Tribolium castaneum: one gene and its partner. The protein of the gene in region 2 purifies or fractionates together with the protein of the main gene of each other region. This does not show direct contact. Links are inferred from orthologs where the notes say so. Each region holds a gene or a part of one and is shown on either strand. Other genes may lie near its edges.

The links.
Region 1: the proteins of Rack1 (region 2) and Dp1 purify together in Homo sapiens (affinity purification with mass spectrometry; 3 studies listed by BioGRID and IntAct, with this or other methods). This does not show direct contact. The link is inferred for Tribolium castaneum from reciprocal best matches to the Homo sapiens genes RACK1 and HDLBP.

Annotation. Positions count from the first base shown.
Region 1 is NC_087395.1:19,404,471-19,407,606, reverse strand, and holds part of Dp1 (vigilin), read right to left. Parts: intron 2,104-3,136; coding exon 1,906-2,103; intron 1,849-1,905; coding exon 1,002-1,848; intron 1-1,001. UniProt on the Homo sapiens protein: Appears to play a role in cell sterol metabolism. It may function to protect cells from over-accumulation of cholesterol.
Region 2 is NC_087399.1:653,480-657,410, forward strand, and holds Rack1 (small ribosomal subunit protein RACK1), read right to left. Parts: upstream 2,654-3,931; 5' UTR 2,584-2,653; coding exon 2,475-2,583; intron 2,323-2,474; coding exon 2,114-2,322; intron 1,911-2,113; coding exon 1,779-1,910; intron 1,349-1,778; coding exon 1,065-1,348; intron 896-1,064; coding exon 673-895; 3' UTR 623-672; downstream 1-622. Other genes in the region: mts (serine/threonine-protein phosphatase 2A catalytic subunit beta isoform), read left to right, coding at 3,074-3,157, 3,396-3,509. UniProt on the Homo sapiens protein: Scaffolding protein involved in the recruitment, assembly and/or regulation of a variety of signaling molecules. Interacts with a wide variety of proteins and plays a role in many cellular processes.

The DNA of each region.
Region 1 (3,136 bases), on a different chromosome or scaffold from region 2:
TTGAAAAACCGATCATAAAATTTCAAATCTCTTTCTTTAGGAAAATTTAAGTATCAAAATGAAGCAATCCGAAGCTCAGATTAACTGAAATTAAAGAAAATATCGTTCTGTTTCAAAACTATAAAAACGCCAACATCGCATTTCACCAAATTATAAGATCCATAAAATTGTAAAACAGTTATTAATCTCTCGTTAAAAATATAAATTACATTAGTTATTATTTTTTTGAAGTGCATAAATAATTTTGAGAGAAAATGCGACGTATAAGTTTACTGCAACAAGTGATAAAGTCAAACATTTTAAGTTTTTCGTTAAGACGAGTACATTTTAAGGAAAATTCGAAGTTTTCTCTACCTAACTATAACATTTGTATTTGAAGAAAAACAACATTGATTTCGGTTATACAAGCGATATTAATTTAATCCGCAATTAAATGCCTGATTAGATGATTGCTGATTACGTGACTAAGTTAAACCAATCACGGAATGAACAGCGCATAAAATTTTAATAGAGCTTTCTATAAAGCGGTCTTAAAATTAAATTAAATTTGTGAAAAAGTTTAATTTCTTGACTTGGTAATTTTTTACAGTTATGGCCAACAGGAGCTCGAATAAAATTAAGAAAAACGTATAAAAAAATTCGAAGAAAACAATTTATATTAATTTTAAATTGTTAAACATTTTATCACCCAAAACGTAATTCTTCGATTAAATTAATTAGGTTAACACATAATTCAATACAAAATCTCAAAGAAAGTCTAAATGATATAGTTGTTAGAAAACTATAAAAAGCACATCTTTTACGACTCGCTTGACAACACTTCAATTGCCACGTGCCCCCACTCCCGCTTTACCAACAACAAACCATAATTCCACCGCTTTTAATGCTCACATTACGCCACTTATTATATCAATGAAAAGCAACTCTTTATAACCCACTTAACGTAAACAACGTCCATTCATCGCAATGTTTACCAACACACAAAACAAAAACAAACTCACCTTTTTTAGGGAAAATAATCTGCACGTCATGATCCTTCCTAATTTTCGTGATAACGGCACCACGTTTGCCGATAATCTTCGGATGATACTCAGGATTGACTTCAATCTTCAACGCAAACGCCTTCAATTCACGGTCTTTCCTATCGGCTTCCAACTCTTGCACCTTTTCTAGCAACGCCTCTTTAGCCCGCTCGACATTACTGGGCGTTCCGGTGATTTTAATCACATCTTCCTTGACTCCAGTCGGCGACAGGACAATATGGACATCGTATCTGTCCATCAATTCCTTCACATCGCGGCCTTTTTGCCCAATGATCGACCTGTGCAAGTCATAGGGCACGTCCACGCTGATGGTCACCGGGACCAAATCCAAGAGAGCTTGCTTCGCCTTAAGGCAGTTTTCTTCTTTACCGGTGATGCGGATGACGTCGCATTGGCGCACCGGCCCGCCGTTGATGTCGCCGTTCAACTGCCCATGGCCGGGGTATTCTTCCGTGTTCTCCCGATCGGGGAATTTGATCTGGACGTCGAAGTCGGAGGTGATGCCTTGCACCTTGAAGCCTTTGGCGCCCATGACGGTGCGGTGGTGGTTCTGCGGGATGACGCATTCGATGGTGATCATCGATTCGAGGTCTTGGATGATTTCGTTGATGCGTTGCTTCGCCGCCTCGATGCACTCCTTGGAGCCTTTGAGGACGACGCGGTCGCTGTCGACGCCCGAACGAGGGAAGGAGATCATCACACCGCCGCATTCGTCGCTGATCTTGTGGAGGACTTCGCCGCGACGCGCCACGAAGTGCTTGTGGTGGCGGGGTTCCACGGACATCTCGCTCTCGATAATATTGTCCTAAAGTAAATCAATTTTTTTAGTTGTCAAAATTTCGAACATGAAGACACAACTTACGATATCTTTGATGGTGGCTTGGAGGGCCGCTTTAGCCTCTTCCACGGCCTCCTTCTTGCCGATGATTGTGATAATCTCTCGATCGTCGTCGGTACTTGAAGGAAATACGATTCTAGCTCCAGTCGAATCGCGGATTTTCTTAATATTGGCACCGTTTTTGCCAATCAGGAACTTGTGGTGTTGAGCTTTGGCACGTACCTGAAATAGCAAAACAATGGCTGTTTGTTACAATGTAGTCCGAAAATGTGCAAATCACAAAATTTTAATTTAGGTGGACTTGATTTCAACCATAATTAAATAAAAACCCAAGTTTAGTACACTTTTTGATATTCTCCTTCAAACAAAAAATTATAGAATTATAAAAAATTGAATAAATTTTCAGAAAATAAAAATCACAAGAGACCGGATTTCATTTCATATTTTTTAAGCAAATTTCAAATAAGTTCATTTAACACCTCTTTTGTTTTGACCCGTAGTTTTGCCATTTGCTTTAACTAGATTAACTTACAGTCTAAATCAATTAATTCTGGACTGTATTAAAAAATAACGATATTTAATAAAAATTGTAGAATCAATATAAGGAGTGTCTTAGCTCAAAGCGATAATTTGAAAAACATTAAAACAATACTTAAAAAATTCATTTCTTTCAAATTTACAGGATTATCTCCATCAAGAAAAAGTGTTTCGGTTTTGATATTGATTGTTATTATAAAAATACTATCATTATGCGTATAAGTTAAATACATACGAACCACTAAAAAATAATCTAGATGATACTCTACAAAAAACTTTTTTAAAATAGATTTGTATAAAATTATCCGCGATATGAGTTGCTAAAACTTATTGAGAAAGCAGTTGTGTTAAAAGAAATAAAGAGACTAGTTCCAGAGGTTATTAAGTATACTGCACAACAATTAAACAGGATATTACTGTTTTTTAGAAATTTTTTGAAATAATTTTGGTCTTTTTTGCGTCGTACGCGAGAATTTTTTAATTTTTCGATTCTTTTAAATGTAGATTCCAGTGGCGTACTGTACTCATCTTTTGTGTTTAAATTAAGTTTATGGATTTAAGTTTAAATGTGCTTAAGTTTACATAATATGGAAAAACCTACACTCACGCTGTGGTTAATTTTTTAATCAAAACCACATATTTTCATACTGTTGCCTTTGTTTTTTTGTTTGTAAAGTACACACTAATGAACAATTTAACACATTTTATAAAATATTTT
Region 2 (3,931 bases):
TAATTATGCGTTCTAATCTAGCACTTATGATTAATTCTTGTGGAAACCTAAACCCGTAATTATTAGAAATTAATAAGAAAAAACGAGAATATTAAATGAGTAATTTATTTTTTAAAGTTTGCCAAATAAATAGATATTTTTTGTAGGTATTTCTAAACATATCACACAGAAATGAACGTTTGCTATTAGATACATTAGTAGCTTTTTTACAATTGCTGAATAATATTCATTAATAACACTTAATAGCTAATATTAAATAATGGCTAAAATATTTTTCAAACCCCCAAAAAGTTAACTAATTTAAATTAAATGGCTCTTGTACAAGAAAAAAAATCACTTGTTAAAGCTCAACTAAAGAGACGGTTAATTAAAAAAAAATATAGTGTAAAATGGCGTGTTATATGCAACCTAATAAACACAAAATCCAACAACAGACGATATATACGCGACCACCAATACACATTTGTGTATTTGGTGAAATACTCAGTAAAAAGTTACTTCATAGCTTCATTCACAGGACATCATAATTGGATTTTTAATCAAACAAAAGAATTTGTTTTCATAACTTTATTTTGTAAAAAATACAACTTAAATCTTATAAATATGTATAAAGAAAATAATATAACTTATTTCCGGATTTATTTATTATTATTATAAAAAATACATCAAGAATTAGTGGGCAGAAATGCTAACTTGCCACACCCTGATAGTATTATCAGAATAGCCAGCAAACAAAGTTTGCCCATCTGTCGACCACGCAAGCGAAAGACACTGTGGTGGTTCAGCCTTGCTAAGCGGTTGCGAGACAACTTCTGGTCTAAGTTCCTCAACCATTTCCTTGCTCTCCAAATCCCAGATCTTGATAGAGGGTCCAAAAGCGGCACACAACCAATACCTTTAACAACGTTCTTCTTAAACAAATCCTAACAAACGAAACGTTTGAATGCTTCAAGCAAAAAAAAATCAGCCCCATATCCGCTAACCTCTCATAGCCAATCAAGTGGTTAAGTTTTGTGTCATCATTTCACAATCACACCGAAATAATAAATCACATCGATTATTACCTGTTTGGCGAAAAGCACAAAGCCGTGATGATATCATTATGGTCAAGTGTGTGCAAGTGTTTGCCATCGTTAAGATCCCAAAGCATTGCTTTGCAATCTTTACCGCCACTTGCACACAAGCTACCATCAGGAGAAACAGTCACAGTGTTCAAATAACCGGTGTGACCTGAATGGTTGATCTTGAGGCGGCAGTTGGTCAAGTTCCATACTTTGACCATGCGGTCCCAACCCGCCGACACGATGATGGGGTTCGAGTGGTTGGGCGAAAATCGCACGCAAGAAACCTAACAAAAAAGCTTAAATGGCAAACTTCCTTTTTCTTCAAATTTACAATTTCATTCACAAAACAAAAACAATAAACAACTAGGCACTGTTTTCAACAATATTTCCGCTGATATTTCTATTTATCTTGATGACATTGCACACGTAACTCATATTTTAAAGCTATTTAATAAAAAATTTCATGCGAGACACAAATTTAAAGTTTATACAGATAAAGAAATAGCTTCTAATAAATATTTAATTAATTTAATGTCCATATCATCCATACCGTCAGAAAATGTAGATTATAAAAAAATAGTCGCCACCCTTTTTTTTCAGTAAATTTAACAACTTTTAACAAGAAAAGAAAAAACATATCTACTACTAATAATGCAGCACTCGCCGTGCTCGTGTTGTAAAGAACTCACGTCGGAAATTTCTCCGAACACTTACCCAATCAGAGTGGCCATCGTCCTGGATGGTATACTTGCACTCGGCCAAAGTGTTCCACAATTTGATGGTCTTGTCGCGGGATCCTGACACGATTTGGCGGTTATCAACCGAGAAAGCCACACTTAAGACATCCTAAACAGATACATTTTTAAGTTTTGCGAATGATTGCTAACACACCCATTGGTAGGACTAGCCTAATATGTCTCACGATACTTACACAAGGGGGCCCAACAGTCAACTTCAGTCGCCGTTAATACAAAAAAAACAAAAAATCTTCCGACTGTTGCAACGTGAGATATCAAAACTGTAAAACGGTAAAAATGTATGTTTCAAACCTTGGTATGGTCCTCAAATCGACGCGTTGTTTTCCCAGCAGCCAAGTCCCACAAACGCAAGGTCTTGTCCCATGAGCCAGAAAGGGCGTAATTACCGTCGCTCGACAGGACAACGTCAGAAATAAAATGGGAATGGCCGTACAAACGCTTCTGGGGCACCCCGTAGCATGTCTCGTCACGTGTCAGTTTCCATACGATCAAAGTCTTGTCTAAAACCAACAAAATCGGAAATTATCCACGGGAAACATGCTCCCGAAGGCCAATTTGGCGAAATTGGGGCAAATTTCAAGCGGATGGTTGCGTAATTCACCAATAAATGGGGATTAGAAAGGAGATTATGGGTTAGAATTTGGGTTCTTACCTCGAGACGCGGACAAAATCAAGTCGGGGTATTTGGGGTTGGTCGCAATTTGCGTAATCCAGCCGTTGTGCCCCAAAAGGGTGCCTTTCAATTGAAGGGTTTCGGACATTTTTCAGAGGACCTTCCTCACACAAGACCGGCTCAAAAAGAAAAGGGAACGGAAGAGAGAGGTGGCTCTGCAGTTGCCAACCGAACAAAAACACCCATTACGCAACGAAAAGTCACTATTAGTCACTAGATTAGCTAACCACACCGGTTGGAGGGCCTGGATTTTTTTACGTTTTGCATAATTTGAAAACCAAACGGTTTTTACAACTTTGTTGTAGCCCCTCATTACAATTTGTGCAAAAAGTGGTACTTGAACATTTACAGTTTCCTGTATAGTTGGTTGTACTTCAAGATTTTTTACCTTTGGTCATTTCTAGTACCAAATTTTTGACGATTTTTTTGTGGAAACTGCGTTATGTCACACCTTTTATTTAATTTATCATGTTTTTTGTTATTTGAACCGGCCAATCAAGCGGCGTGGGCAGGGCCTGGGAAACAAACGACCTTGCTTGAGTAATGTCAACAAAGCGTCAAACTGTCTCTTACAAGCAATGAAAAGCCCCCAAACGCAAAAACCGATTAAATTTCGAACTCCGACGTCCGCTGTGTCAATATTATGCGACAAACCGCCCCAGGTAAAATTCTGTCCGTGATTAATGGAGTTCGATTTGAGTTTCCCGGTCGGTGGTGTGAGTGTACAAAGCCGCCGCTAGAGGTCTTATTAAATCCACCACATAATCGCCATTTTGGTGTGTTCATCCGAGAATAGATAAAAACTAAAATAACGAGTAATTTATGTAGAGAAACAAACCGAATTTCGAGCAGTTTAGTGTAATTATTTATGATCTAACTTATTTTCGTGTGTATGACCAGATACCGCTAGCAATGGATGATAAAGCGTCGTGTAAAGAACTGGATCAGTGGATAGAACAGTTAAATGACTGTAAGCAACTATCAGAAAATCAAGTAAAGACACTATGTGATAAGGTAAATATCGCCCCTTTGCCTAGTTTTAGTCCCTTGAATCGATTCGTGTTCGCTCCAATTAACGCAATTAAAGTGTTTATTTTAATTAGCACCGCCAGTTTACTCCTTATTTACAGTCCTGGTTACGTTATCTCTAATAAAATAAGCACTTTAGATCCTTGGAGCCCGATCTTTTATCAGATCCTCTCAAACAAACCACTGATTCATACCGATGATTACGAATGAATCAGTGGCGGCTCGTGGTTAAACCAGGTGAAGAGCTAACGAAATTCAAAATTTACAACCAAATTTCATGTTTTCCAATTCAAAGTCATAAACACAAGCATTCTATCATTCCTAATATGGCCAGAAATTTCCAAAGATGACTGAGAAACTTCACTAAAAAAGGTGACCTGACTTGACTTGACCTGACCGAGCTAAAA